3 linked regions of the Nothobranchius furzeri genome follow. The protein of the gene in region 1 purifies or fractionates together with the protein of each later gene. This does not show direct contact. Links are inferred from orthologs where the notes say so. Each region holds a gene or a part of one and is shown in the gene's direction. Other genes may lie near its edges.

Region 1 (5,801 bases):
CCATTGATCCGCTCTGCACAACAGTCTCCTCTGTTTACGATGTTGATGTGGTCGATTATGTAAGACTCCAGGAGATCCACTCTCCACCAGGGATCGGCTTGTTGTGCCGTGTGGGTACATGATCCAGCCATCATCTGGGAATTCCGATTCCCATCAATGGCATTGATGGCAATTCCCAAAACATTGGTATTTCCCAGCAAGCGTGTAGATTGTGTTGCAGTGCCACGCAGAGCCACATTTTCTAATAAAAGGGAGAGAAGAAAAACAAGCCTAATCTTTTATACAAATCTTTAAATCTTCAAATGCATTTAAACTAGTTTACAGGGAACATCTCAGATCTTACGCTGAAAAGCTGTTTACTTGGCACCATTTGCTTTTCTGTAGTCCTGGGATGGACAAACGTGTACTGTGAGCCTGATCATTGACCCAATGATTGCTGGTAGAGGCACCACCTCCCCATAACAGAATAGAATAAAGCAGGAACAGGGAGCTCTTCCAATCGGCTAATTGGTCATCTTATGAGGACATTCAATTTTAAGCAGACCAAAATACAACTTAGCCCCATCTACTTTTACACAGAGACCCCTCAGCCAACTGGAAGGGGAAGAGCATTTATTCTATAGTAGGGGTATTTGATTCCAGGCCTGGAGGTCCAGTATCTTGCAAGTTTTATTTTAGCCCCGTTTCAGCACACCTGATTTCAATCAGCAGGTGATTGACAGGCTTCTGCAGAGCCTGATGAGCTATTGCACAGGTGAGTCAAGTGTGTTGAATAAGAGAAACTACTAAATGTGCTGGATAGTGGACCTCCAGGACCAGAATTGAATACCCCACTCTAAAGCAGGACTTCCCAATTTCTTTTTTCCCCAGGACCCCCTTGTGCATGTCCAAGACAAGTCAGGACCCCCAACTCCTACATGCGTACACACATTAAATGTAATCACTTACCATCTTTTACCAGCATAGAGTTATAAATTATATATGGAGTTTTGATTTTACTGTAGGGTGTGTTATTTGGAGTTTATAAATGTAATTTTTATAATTCTTGCTAATCTCACAAGCTCAGCAAAGACAAAATTGTAGGGACCCCATATCCCAATTTGGAAACCTCTGCTCTATAGGATATGAAGGAACTAAAACAAGTCATCTTGTGCAAACCTCTTTAGATATTTAACGACATCCCATCTAAAGCGCATTACTGTCAAAGTGTCACTAGCAATGAAATATTGAAATCAGCCTTACCATATGCATAAGCAGAGCACAATGGAAAGCAGAGCAGCAGCAACTGCAACATTACAGTGGATCCCATGATGCTGGTTAAAACATACAAGGTAAAAAAATAAGTTTGCAAGGTTAAAGAGAGTTCAAAGCAAATTGCTAGAATTATGACCTATAAACGTGCTTAGCACTTTAGTGAGAAAATAAATGAACTACAAAAAGAGGAGGAAGCAATCTTTTATATAAGGGAAACGTGGGAGTGAGAAATAACACTGACAGGAAATACAGAAAAACTTTCGGAAGCCATGACCAAATAAGTGATCTCTTACCACACTCTCGACAGCAGAAGAACAATCAGAGCTCTAACAACTATTATGGACCATGCAACAATCAGAGCTCTAACAACTATTATGGACCATGCCACACACACCTTTATCTGCTCCTCCATCAATCAGAGGGGGTGGAGCACCAGCAGGTGCCACTGGGATTCCAATCAGTTTATTACTGACTTCGGGGGAGACAGGAGAGGAGTGCCGGTCCACACTCCAGACCTATAGGTGGCGATGATGCACCACATGTTGTTTATGGCCATTGAACCTCAGAGAACAAACTTATTACGTCATGGTTTCCTTCTGTAATATAAAAAATAGATTTGTATAAAATACATTTCTTAATTAGGCTTGGCTTGAACATACCCATGTCACTTTAGCAAGATTATCTTACCTTTTATCCATGCTACTGAATGTCCTATTTTAGTTATTAAAATGAAGAGTAAAATAGAAGATTGTGATGGGATTCTGTTTCTTTACCCAGTCATTCAAAATAACACCCAACCAAATATTCAAGCAAAACATGATGTGCACATAAAGCCCAACAGAAGGAAACATACTGAGAAGTGTATTGCTGCCATCTGGTGGCAACATGTTGACGACATAACTGAAGTTTCACAATAATACCATAAAATGTTCTTTTGTCTGTAGAGCTCCATTAATGTCATTAAGTAAATACTCTATTAAGTAAAAATAAAAGGAATATAGTGTTTAAAAGTAGATAAGAAGCCTGCAGACATGGCAGATTTGTCTAATCAGCTCCTTACTTTTTGTGTTAATTCCTATAACCCTGCCACGTGAATCTGGGGGGGGGGGGGGTACGCCTACATTTCCCATGAGCGTCACATAAACCTCGTGATCACTTTGCGGCTGCGCAGTATCATTTGAAAACTTGCACGGCGAGGGATGCCGTTGAGGAGAAAGACAACGCAGTGAGCTACACACAATGGCGACGGCGGCGACTTCTGCGGGCGGAACGGGTTCAAGCGGACCAGCCACAGGCCTGGTCGGTGGAGGAACCGCGGTAGGACGAAAGAAAGACGGCGGTCCTTCCACGAAATTTTGGGAAAGTTCCGAGACGGTGTCCCAGCTCGAGACGGTGCGGCTTTGGATCGGGAAGCACTACAAGAAGGTGGGTTAACGCTGCTGTGTTCCTCATTGATTTCTATAAAGGCCCGCGTCTCGCTGGCACAATAGAGCGCTGATATGTTTATAACCTTCATGTACACTAAGCTAACTTTAGCTGTAGTTGTTCTGGTTGACTCATGTTTATAATCTCGCTCAAGAGAGTGCAGACAGTCTCCTTTTAGACACGATTAAATGCAAACGTACTATGATAGCTGGAGTGAAGTTGCTTTTCTGTTAGCCTGCCATCAGCTAGCTCGCTAGCCGCTCAGTCAGCTAAACACAACAAATTAGTTCTAATAAGGTACTGAATGTCGAACTGTTGATACGTTATTGTAGTAAAAACGCACATGTGAAATTATGTTGTGTGCTAAAAATATATACGACCCACTCATTCGGTGTAAAGGCCTAAGAAACTAACGAAAATGTCACGGTGCACCGTGTGTGTACGATTCACATAAACATAACACACCATTCATTCTGTTTTACGTTATATTTAGGTCTCAGAAAGTCACAAGATAATTGTGTTTGTTGCATTTTGTGTAAAAGAGTCCTCATTGTGTTGTTTTGTCAACACACTCATCAGGCAGACAGCCTCTGGCTTCTCTCGCCCAGCAAAACAAAGAGTGTATCTATTCAAACCCACCATCACGCCCATGGAGGCGCATTTAAAAACAACGCAAAAGTTCAACTGAACAGCAAACTTGATGGAGTCTAGATTCTGTTTTAAGTTTGCTTGTTTGCAGTTTTTGTGTTGGAATCATGTTTTTCTTACCGTGTCTTTGACTTAAAAAACGTAGGTACTTAGATTAATAAGGATTTCTGTGATTGCATGTAAATATTTTCATGTCACACCAGAACACATTATTTATAGGACTTAGTAAAGTTAAAACAACAACAAGTCGCCCAGCTGAAGATTTATTTGTTAAATGAGCAGCAAGGTTGTGGTTAATAGTGTTTAAAATATCAGATATTGCGAAATTAGACCTATTCCCATGACCATGCATGTATTTGTTACTGTGCAGACTTCTGTGTGTCACCAAAGTTTTGTAGCTGCTTGTAATATATATGTGTTCATTTTCAGATGCTTTCCTGTTTCTTTGTCAGTGATGCATGTAAATGATTCAATGATTATGGTTTTTTTTTCAGTATGTTCAGAATGACTCCCCCTCCAGCAAATCACTGGGAGGCTTGGTGGTGCAGCTGCTGCAGTTCCAAGAGGATGCATTTGGACGGAGGGTCAACAATCCAGCTCTTACCAAGCTACCTGTAAGCACACCTTCTTTGCAGAACCAAAAGCTATCATAATGTCTGTGTCTTGAATCTCTTTGTTTATCTTCTCTCTTCAGGCCAAGTGTTTCCTGGACTTTAAGGCTGGAGGGGCTCTCTGTCACATCTTGGGCTCGGTTTATAAGTTTAAAAGTGAACAGGGCTGGTGAGTGGATTTATTTTTAACTTCAAAACTGGTATGACCCAAACTTAACCTCTTTGATTGTTTTGAACCAGTGGTTTAGCAGAATTTAACTCTTTGGTTACACCAGTACCACGAACTGAACATCTTGTAAAATGTGACAAAATTCATACTGCATGAAATCAAAAGGATATTCAACTTTTAGTCAGTTGTGTGTTCGTCTTAAAACTAATTTGGTTTTGCTTTATGAACTCTACTCTTAGGCGAAGATTTGATTTGCAGAATCCCTCAAGGATGGACAGAAATGTGGAGATGTTCTTAAATGTTGAGAAGAACCTGGTTCAGGTATGAGCATCCCAGTCTGAACACAGACTTTTTGTCTTCTATATATTTGACCTCTGCATGGGTAACGTCTGGTTTTATCGATGGTTTGTGTTTTTGTAGAATAACTGCTTGACGCGACCTCTGGTCTACCTGTCTTCGGAAATAGAGCAAAAACAAGCGAGTAAGCTCAAAGACATCGTCAAAAGGCACCAGGTGAGTTCACTTCAAACCAGGAAATAAAAACAGTTTATTTTTTTATGTATTTTTATTATGACTAGCATGAACGTCTTTGTCTTTTCAATTATCTAACTTTGTTTCTCTTCAGGGCTCCACCACCGAGGATAAGTCAAAGGCCACCCACCACATTTATCCTTCTCTTCAGCAGCAGGAAGAAGGTTGGTTTATAACTTTTGTGACTTTGTGCATACATTTTATGATGTATGTTTGAACTTGGGTGTTATTGTTCCTTGCTGATCTGACTCATTTATAGTGTGATCTCTATCCCATCAAACACATCTAGATCAGAATAAAGATCATTTAGCTCCGTTTATGGAGGCTTTATTTAGCTGATCTTCTTGAAAATGGGAATTTTTTGTCACAGCACGGATAAAATCTTCGCTAATTGCTGAAGTTGTGCTGGGGGTTGTGTTTTTCAGAAGAGTGGCTACGTCCTGTGATGAGGAAAGACAAGCAGGTGCTTGTTCACTGGGGCTTTTCCCCTGACAGGTAATCAGAAAGGATCACAGAGAGACTCGGACATGCTTTTCTTTATTGTGGATATGTTTTTACTCTGCAGGAGTATTTCTCTAAAGTTATTCAGTTTCTATTTTTATTAGTAATTTAAAAAACACTAAATCTAATGTCAGAGACATTTTTGCCAAGTTTTTTGTTTTGAAATCACCCAGATTAACCACCTTACTGATCCTGTGTCTGTTATGTATTTTACCAGCTACGACACCTGGGTGGCAGCTGGTGAGGTGGACGGAGACGTTGAAGACCCTCCCAGTGCTGACCGACCCTGGAAGGTGGAGCACCCTCTACCAAAATGATCTGTTTAGCACTGAAGATTTCATAAATAGACACACAAGCGTAAAACTAGCCTGGCTGCTCAGAAAACTTTTTTTTCTGGAAAAAACATGTAAATCTAGATATTGGTATTAACCCTTCTGATGTGTGGAAAACATAACTTTTTAGAATTAATTATTTTCAATAATTTAATGACTGCATCCTATTTGTATTGTAAATTGATTTAATCATTTTTGGTGTCCGTGAAGCTTTTCTCCTGTGATGCTTCACAGCAGTAAACACTGAGTTATTGTTTTTTTAACCACCACCCTTTCTCTCCATATACTTTTATGTCAGGTTCATGCCAAATGGGTTTCAGACACCGATGC
Region 2 (3,980 bases), on another chromosome or scaffold:
CCTGTTCAAAAATAAGCGCGTTTTTGGTATCAGAATGTGTCTTTAAAATTCACAGACATCATATGTGAAATCCATGGCACAAAACAAGTAGATTAGAAAATAGCGTTTTTAGCCCCATTGACTTGCATTCGTTTTTTTGTTCTTCCGGGGACCCATGATCCAGAAGTAGATAGGCGTGACTTAGGCTCCCTATGAAGGGAGACAAACACCAGAAGTGAAACAAGGCTTTAGGGACCGTCTGGCTGTGAAAGTTAATACCACCTTTAGTGTAGTCTGTGTTTCCACTTTAATAGGAAACGTAAAGTTTACATAAAGTTTGGTCATTTCTTTGTCATTATTTATTGACAGTTTCAAAGCACTTATCTGGCTTGTAACATGGCTTGTTTGACTAGGATTTAGTTTATATGTAGTTTTACAGAGTTTTGATGCTTATGTTTACGATTCATAAATCCTGGAAGTTCCAACTGGTCCCAATTTTACTGAACATAGATCTGTAGCGTGCTGTCAAACAGAATGATGTCTGAGCAGATGTTTGTATGCTTTCTTAAACAAAGAGGACAGATTTCTACAGCCTGGTTTTTAATATGTGGTACCTGGCAGGCTCTGTAAGAATCTGATTTTGGTTGTATGGCAACATTTATTACATTTAATTAGATTTTCTTAATTTTTGTACATGGAAAAAGACCAGTCATATTGTGGCTCCGTTAATCCAACTGTGCAGTTACTCCACACAACCACACAGTGCCACTAGAGAGCCTAAATGAGTCAGACTGATTTGTTGCTGTGTTAAATTCCAGGTAAGAACATTTCTTTATCAGAGACCTCAGAGAGGGCACCAAGCACCAAGAGAGACAGCATGTCCTCAGGAGAGAAGGATTCTTCTAACAGCAAAGCCACTCAGGTACAAACACGTCTGTGACCACCTGAGAGGAGCAGGGACCATGTGGGCGGGGCCAGTTTCATCTGTTTAACTCTGCTTTCTAGGAACAAGGGATGGGGGTAAATGACAAATATGAGTAGTAAATTCACTTGTGTGTAAAACGTGTCTTTAGAAAGAGTAGGATAAACTTGATACAACCATCGCTTCCATCTTGCCCTACTCCACATCCTCATCCAGAGTTGAGATGCGATTCTCAGCAGAACTGAACTGAAATTTTTATAGAGACGCACCAAAGACATATAGTCCTCGAGGCATTTACAATGTGACATTGATGCTCGTCCCTTTTGACAGATTCCTGCTGTGTGTGTAATATTACTGAACCTAATTAATTCAGTCCAATGATAGACCGTCTCTAACAGCGCTGCTGACATCTAACGAGCAAAAGAATGGCACGAACAGCAGAAATAAAGGTTGATTGGGTCATCAGCTACACTTCTGTACTGAGCCTATTTAAAAACTGCATCCTCCATTTAAAACTTTCATAAACTCGTAAAAAGCAAACTTTGACCATTTGTCTTTTGAGAATATTTTTGTGAATTATCTTATCTATTAGTATTTGGGGCTCTTAAGGTTAACATGCATTAATAAATTCTAATGGTCAGTAACGCGTCGATCAAAATAAAACAAAAACATCTGTGATGCTAGCGATGTGAGTCAAAGTAAACTGGACATGTTTTTTTTTACTGTTTCTTTTCTCACCTGAGGAGTACATTTTGAATTGAGACCGACTGACAGAACAAATTCTTTCTTTGGCAGCTAACGAGTCGGGCAGCTCACTCTGTCCTTATAGGACTCATTTGTTTAGTTTTCTGGGTTACCACCGAGATGAGAACAGGAATGGACAGTGAAGTGATTTGGGGATGGGAGAGAAGTCTTGTTTTAGCAGATCTTTGCACATTTTAAAAACACGTTCATCAGTGTTAACATTCTCAGCAGCATAACTGATATTTCTGCACACATGTAAAGTACATTTACATGTTTTTGGAGCTTACCGGACTCCAGCAGCTGTGTGTTTAGCACACAGATTAAATTAAATGGAGTTACTCATCTTGATTCCACCATGCAGCCGCTTAAAGAGAAGGATGTTTTAGTTATGGATTCTGGTGAAAATCTCACACTTTGTTTCTCTTGTCTGGCTCCTAGGACCTACAGGAGGAGGCCCCGCCCAGTAAGAAAAGCAAACTGGAGTCCTCATCTCAGGACTTTGAGGAGAGCTAAAGATTTTGGGCTGAGTCATTTCTCTCCTCATCCTCCTGTGTCCCTCTCTCTGTACCTCCTTCCATTAACTCTAGGTGATTTAGGGCTAATGGACACACCGGCTCTCCTCACTCCCTTTTTATTATTATTTTTTATTCTTCTGCCAATTTTTCTCTTCCCAAACTCACAAGACCAACGAGAGAATGGCCGTCTCTCTCCCTGTACTCTCCCCCGCCACCGAGGGAGGATGGATATTACCTCTGTTCACTGCTCCCCCTCCGTGCTTCCTTACAGTCCTCCACATTACTTTGCCAAGAGAAATGCCGACCCCAGGCTGCGGTCCCCTTTGTGACCACAGGAGGCGCTGTCAACTCAGCACTGACCTGCTTCTGTGAGTGAAAACAGTGGGTCTGGGATTAGGACGAGGTCGATCGCGAACGCTGCTCTGAGACTGCTCTTTAATTGTTTTACTGCTAGTGGTTTAGCTCAGGATAACTGGTGGGGCTAACCTGGTCTCAGATCAGCAGCTGCGGGGGGGGGGGACCTCCACCCTAAGGCCCAGTCACTTCAATCCTCCCCATCTGCCTCCTGTTAGACTAATGTTCTCTGTTTGTTTAGGAAATGTTTTTTTTATTTTTATTTTTTCCTCAGGAGGGTCAATGCACTGTTATGGTATGTCACAATCGATCACAGAGATAGATTTGCTGCTGTAGTGGATGTCTTTTTTCTCAATTCATAAAGGTTCTCCATTCATGTGTTTCTAAAGTGAATTAGCTTGTGGTCCATAGAAGAAGGCGACGGTACATGTGCAGATAAATGTAGCGAGGATGGGCGTGGCTAGCAGGTGTCCTGGAGGTGTGCCTTTGTGTTACCATTGATACAAGTTTAGTTCAAGCAGGTTTGGACTTAATGTTTTGGTGCCATGTTTTTTTTTTTTTTTTGCCTTAGAGTTGTCACTAATGGGTTTTCTCTGATGTTTATACTCAGCTACAACCGTTTGGATTTCTGTTTTATAAAAATGTGCTTTCTTGCTGACTGTAGATAAAGAAGTCTGATACCACTGTTACATCAAATCTGATTATAGTGTTAGCTTAGCATTATGCTAAAAAGAGAGAAAGACCACTAGCCTGAAAACGGTCTCCTCCTGAATTTGCTCACATGGACCAGAAGTTCTAAACTATCATTTTTCTACAGAAGCTCTGAAAAGCAAAAAAAAAAAGGGGGAAACAAGATTTTTTTTGTCATGAATTTTTATATTTTACCAAATGAGGACATAAACATCCACACACTTGTTTCTTTTGAAAAGTGTTTTCACATCCTTTTACATCATGCAATCAAGAGGAATCATGGACCCTTTGCCTTTTAGAGCTTCTGTAGTTAGTGGGTATGGTGTGACCAAAAACAAAATAGGACACAAAGTGGATGATATGGGCCATTCCCATCTGTACCGGGTCGGCCCGGGCCGGTAGCCCCAGTCGGCCCCAGTCTGGCCCGGTTGATTCCACACATCCTTGCCTTAAGCCCATGTGGGCTGATTCTACCCACCAATCAGAGGCTTGCTCTAATGGAAGGTGTGAATTTGCTGTCAGCAGTGGGCGTGTTGGCCCTGGTCGGCCTGAAGCAGACTCCCTCGAGAAGAGGGCTGAGAATGAGCCTTGGTTGGCCCGGAAAAACACCAGGCCACCCAGATATGTAAACAACCTACGCTACCCGGCCCGGGCCGACCCGGTACAGATGGGAATGGCCCATTAGAGTCAACCACAAGATCTTTAACAGCCAGAGGGCTTCATTTTATGCAGCTGATGAAGTAAAATCACTGTTATTACCATTTATACCTGCTACT
Region 3 (5,226 bases), on another chromosome or scaffold:
TTATGATAGAAAATAGACGGTGAAACTCTAGGATTTGAAAAGCCTGACAGATCTACATCACACTGCCACTTAACATTCATGGACTCTCTCATCTTGGCTTGTGACGAGGAAGGCCGTTGTTGGTTAGGTTTGGCGTTTAAGAAACGGCAGAGAACATCTCGACTGGTAGAAGCTAACCATTAGCATTAGCAACTCTGCCACATGGCAGAACTACTCTAGGCATTTGTTATTTGTGGAGATGAAACATAAAAGTTGCAGAGCAAACTGAGTCAGTGTTAGAATTGCTTTGCTGTTAACCAAGTAGAAACGAGATGTCCAAAAATCAGGAAATAAGTCTCCAAAACCTGCCATCTGAAGCTACTTTCTCCTCCAGCTTCCTGGTTCAGACGCATCTGGGTCCTCCTCCCACTCCCAGAGTATGACTTACTTAAGACATTCATTCCTAGTAGAGACCACTGCAAATGTATTGAACAAGAGTTCAACACGTTTAAGTCACTGTGGGGCATGGTTGTGTTCGACAGGTCCGGTGATGCATCAGCAGCCTCCATCGCAGCAGTACAACATGCCCCCTGGTGGTGGTGGACAGCACTACCAAGGCCAACAGACCCCAATGGGTATGATGGGTCAGGTCAACCAAGGGAACCACGTCATGGGGCAGAGGCCAATGCCGCCCTACAGACCTCCACAGCAAGGTAAACCACTCAGTGTGTCAGTTCCACATCCAAGCAGAGTGTCGGTCTTCCTTCTCCTTTTCCCTCCTGTGTTTCTCACTCTTGTTCCTCCCAGTCTGTTTCTATTTCATCTTCTGTAGACTGCAGACAACTTGTTCAGTAACGGTTTAATCCAAAATCCCGTGTAAAATTAGTTGTGACAAAGGGAAAGCTCCTTTAAGATGAACTAGAAGCAAGGAGTCTATCCCCTCTACCCTCTCCTCCCCCCTTACACAGCAACAGCACCTTGAATCTACATGTGTGTATGTTGTATGTAGGACCCCCCCAGCAGTATCCAGGGCAGGAAGACTACTATGGCGACCAGTACAGTCACGCAGGACAGGGCGCCTCAGAAGGTAGGAGAACCCTGCAAGTCACTTGGGAGAACACAGACAATCAGTCAACCCAGGAGTTGAGTCAAAACACAAAAACGATGCTTCGACTAGGGTTGTCACGGTAACCGGTGTAGCGGTAAACCCTGGTAAAAAGTTGACAATAATAATAACCGTCTTGTTTTTAAAAAAAAAACGATATTATCTCGGTGGATTACCGTGGCTGTGGTGTAGGCGCGGTGACCCTTACCAGCCACCGTATCATCTGCTGAAGTTGCTGGCGGCACATGCGCGCTTTGTTGTTTACAACCAAAACTTTCTTGAAGCTAAAGCTGAAATAATGGTCAAAGGAGGAGACGGCAGCGCTCAGGAGGACATTTTTTATCCCTCAAAGAAGACAAAGTGGGAAGTACGGGCATCTTTTGGATATTTGAAGAATGCCGAGGGACAGTTGATAGAAGACGGCTATCCTGTTTGCAGCACGTGCAGAAAAAGTGTCTGTGAAAGGCAGCAACGCTTCAAATCTCATGACACATCTGCGTGACCATCTCCCGCAACTCTACAGTCAACGCAAGGCAAGCTAACGTTAGCGTTTTAGCTAGAATGCGTGATCCGAGGATTTGGGTTGAGGGAGAATGCAACGAGTCGCTATACAAAGCAGCCGCAGCGCCGCTACCTGCATATAAACCGTGTCACGGACACCCCATGTTGAAATGACGCTATGCATTACAGGGCTCCCAGGGGCAGATAAGAGTTGGTCTCTCTCCGAGAATAATTAAGAATTTAACAATGATTACTGCCTGATGACATTTTCCCACATCTGCAAAGCTCACTGGAAGGACACAAACCGAGGACAATATTTTCCTGATATACGGTTTATTACTCAAGTAAGGGTAAAAAAGTATCTGATTAGAAGGCTACTTGAGTACTGAGTATCATCTGATCTAATATTTTTAAAATGATGACATCAAACAGACAAAATAAGAAGATATGGGCAAATATTGGTATTTTAAAGACTAAAGGGGAAATATGTAAACAAATAAACAACATAATTACAAAATAACACATTTTAAGCAAAATTTAGACAAACTGAGGACAATATCTCCTGATATACAGGGTTTATTAAATTGTGTGAAAATGTAGCACGTTTAAAAAAAAATACCGCGATAATACCGAAAACCATGGTAATTTTGGTCACAATAACCGTGAGGTTAAATTTTCACACCATGACAACCCTAGCTTCGACAAAGCAAAACATTTCAGTTTCTGCAATGCATTCTGGGGATTTTAGGCTCTAGATGGCTCATACTTATTTTACATGCTACTTTGTTAATTTTTTCAGTTTTTGCAATACAGTCTGCATGTTCATTTTCTGTAAGCAATTATAAGTCCAGGTTTACTGACAAATATTGAAAAAGCAGCACAAACTACCATCTAGCGTAACTGTCTTGTTACAGTGTCATGAGACGGTTACAGTAGATGTCTCGTGACGCTAAAACATTTGCAGTTTGATCTGTTCAATTCACTGACTTGGTAAAAGTACAAAACTCTTCCTCTTTGTCTTGTTAACATTTACTTTTGTGGTTTTGTTTTTCTTCTAATAACCCTTTTCCTCCCTATGAACTTTCAAACATGGAGCTTATTTTTTCTAACAAGAAAACAAATATCTAAAGTGTGGGTGTGTACAATCTGCCACCAAGTCATGTTTGTTCACTTTTAACTCAAAATAAACTAAAGTAATTATGTCTAGACTTAGAAAAGTGCTGATCCGTTTCTGTCTGTTTTAGTGAGAGAATTAGTTTAGAATTTCAGACCGTAGTTTTATGGTTTTATTTAAAATATTCTGTGACTTTCTGCACATTTTAAAATGAAAATGAGCTCAGTTACTTTACATCTAGCATTGGTTTTGTTTGTTTGAATCTTGGTGTGTTTTAACAATGCCTGCTGATGCTGTTCGAAGGTAATGCGCAGTATGGCCAACAACAGGAACCGTACCAGCAAGGCCCGCCTCAGCAGCAGGGCTATCCGCCACAGCAGCAGTACCCGGGTCAACAGGGCTACCCACCGCAGCAACAAGGCTATGGTGAGTTTTGGGGAACTCGTTTGTCCTGTAGGAGGCACCATTGGCTCTCTTGGCGGACTTCGTCTAACTTGAATGATTTAATTTGAGTGAGGTGCTAGTTGCTATGTCACCATCATCTGGAGCAAAACATAAAAGGACTGCCTTAGTAAGCTGCAGTCCTGTCTTATTAGCTTCCTCTTCTCATTGCAAAAGTTATCTGTTCATACATTATTAAGTACTCATTTCCTCTACAGCTCATGTGTTGTATATGCCCAACCCCTGGCTTGTGGTTAGACTCCATGATAAAACCGAGCCAAACCTCAACGTAGCGGTAATAAATACACGCATTGAAGAATTTGTAGAATAGAAGTTCAAAGATCTTTCTTCTGTTATTTCCCATCACTCGCTGCTATCTGAGCCAGAGCTCATGTTAGTAATGAGCTAGCAGAGGCTGAGGTGAGATCCATCTGGCACATACACATGCCTGTTCTCCGAGGCCCCCACAAGGTTATGCACAGCAGCACAAGGCATTACAAGCGCCTAACGATGCTGCGTGGGCCTCATTTGACTTCAACCCTCAGTCCTTCACAACGGCTGGAAAGATGGCAGTCCTGAACAGAGGTTGATGAGATATATAAATATCTATATGTATATTTTTTTCTTTTTAGTTTTAATGATGCTTGCTTCTTTAATGAAGACAAACTGAAATTCCATGTCTCCTTGAGTTTGGGAGCCATCATCCAGCAGATTTTATTACAGTCCACTATAACAGAAACCTCCCAAAGTTTCTCAAATAAACGTCTAGAAGTGGATGCTATAATGAGCTGTAAGCACACAGGTTCGATGGAGGGCAATCATGATCTATGTTGTCAAGCTTGTTGAAGGATTGAGTTAGGGCTGCACGATATTAGGAAAACCTGCAATATTCGATAACAGTGCTTAATATTGCGATATCGATATTACTCACGATAAATGAACAAATACTAAAGTATGCAGTGTTGATGTCGTCTGGCGTGTGACGTCTGCTCTGGGTTCAAAGCAAACAAAAACTAATGCATGAATTCCATTACAACATAACATTTTTATTGCAAAAATATGCAGCTGCAACTGCTACTGTATTAGCAGCAAAACAACAAACTGCATGCATGCAGTTTCTCAGTGACTTTAAAACATCACCACCACCATAAAACTTTTTCTGATGCTCCAAATACAGAAAAACATCCCTTACCAGGGTTTTCTGAATAAATAAAAAAATCAGAAAATAAGTTTAAATGTTAAATAATAGTTAACATCACTTAAATGCAACAGCAAATTCTCTCATTGCTACTGAGCATTTTATCCACTTATGTGGTTATGATACAAGGCTATTGCTGTAATTGGGAAGTGATCTGTGCTGGGCCAAACTAGGAGAAAATTAAGATTTTCTGAGGGAAAGAGAAAAACAATTGTCTACCTTTCAGAAGAGGAACTGGCAAAAAACTACATGGAAAATATGTGAAAACGTTTGTTTTTAACCCCAAATTGAACAAGTTTACCTAGATCTTAAAAAGCAGCTCAGATGATGAAACTGCAGCTTTGATTCTGGTAACAAGCTAACAAATTGAACTAGCTCTTCTAAGAACATTGGCTAGCAGAGCTTCTGACTGACAGTTTATGTGCAGCAGCAAATCAACTATCCTGATTAACAAGGTTATGAAAGCTCATAAAGAAAAATCACTTTGATGTGTGGGGGAACTTTTCCAGGCTCTCTTTAGCAGCTCAGGGTGGGACTGGGAGGAGAGTGCTGTAGCCTTTTAGCTGGAAACTAACCGGAGCCTGGGGCTAACGGTGGGTTGGTTCACCGGCACGTGTCGGAGTCAGCCCGGTTATTATCAGCTGCTTAAAGACACCGAGCGGACTCACGTTCATGTTTGAAAGCAGCGCTGATTCCAGAAACCTCAGCACAAAGTGCGTTCGTTAATCTGAGCCAGCATGATGAACAAGGGAAGCGAGCGGCAGCGGAAAGCGGGGGCGGAGCGGAGACAGTGGAATTTTGGGGTAAGGGTCTATGTAGGGGGCGGGCGTATTACGTGAACGGACCCATCTGATTGGCCGCATATCAGAAGGGCTTCATTTGATTGGT

Evidence for each region. The genes of interacting proteins can lie anywhere in the genome.
Region 2: the proteins of smarcc1a (region 1) and bcl7a purify together in Homo sapiens (affinity purification with mass spectrometry; 4 studies listed by BioGRID and IntAct, counting the BioPlex papers as one, with this or other methods). This does not show direct contact. The link is inferred for Nothobranchius furzeri from reciprocal best matches to the Homo sapiens genes SMARCC1 and BCL7A.
Region 3: the proteins of smarcc1a (region 1) and ss18 purify together in Homo sapiens (affinity purification with mass spectrometry; 4 studies listed by BioGRID and IntAct, counting the BioPlex papers as one, with this or other methods). This does not show direct contact. The link is inferred for Nothobranchius furzeri from reciprocal best matches to the Homo sapiens genes SMARCC1 and SS18.

The regions. Positions count from the first base shown.
Region 1 is NC_091745.1:65,005,235-65,011,035, forward strand, and holds the start of smarcc1a (SWI/SNF complex subunit SMARCC1), read left to right. Parts: upstream 1-2,423; 5' UTR 2,424-2,493; coding exon 2,494-2,679; intron 2,680-3,821; coding exon 3,822-3,941; intron 3,942-4,021; coding exon 4,022-4,107; intron 4,108-4,346; coding exon 4,347-4,428; intron 4,429-4,527; coding exon 4,528-4,620; intron 4,621-4,732; coding exon 4,733-4,802; intron 4,803-5,063; coding exon 5,064-5,133; intron 5,134-5,356; coding exon 5,357-5,432; intron 5,433-5,769; coding exon 5,770-5,801. Other genes in the region: uncharacterized protein si:ch211-215k15.4, read right to left, coding at 1-241, 1,243-1,313, 1,548-1,666. UniProt on the Homo sapiens protein: Involved in transcriptional activation and repression of select genes by chromatin remodeling (alteration of DNA-nucleosome topology).
Region 2 is NC_091746.1:40,396,806-40,400,785, forward strand, and holds the end of bcl7a (B-cell CLL/lymphoma 7 protein family member A), read left to right. Parts: intron 1-797; coding exon 798-901; intron 902-2,083; coding exon 2,084-2,158; 3' UTR 2,159-2,306; downstream 2,307-3,980.
Region 3 is NC_091751.1:52,442,018-52,447,243, forward strand, and holds part of ss18 (protein SSXT), read left to right. Parts: intron 1-521; coding exon 522-692; intron 693-988; coding exon 989-1,066; intron 1,067-3,002; coding exon 3,003-3,125; intron 3,126-5,226. UniProt on the Homo sapiens protein: Appears to function synergistically with RBM14 as a transcriptional coactivator. Isoform 1 and isoform 2 function in nuclear receptor coactivation. Isoform 1 and isoform 2 function in general transcriptional coactivation.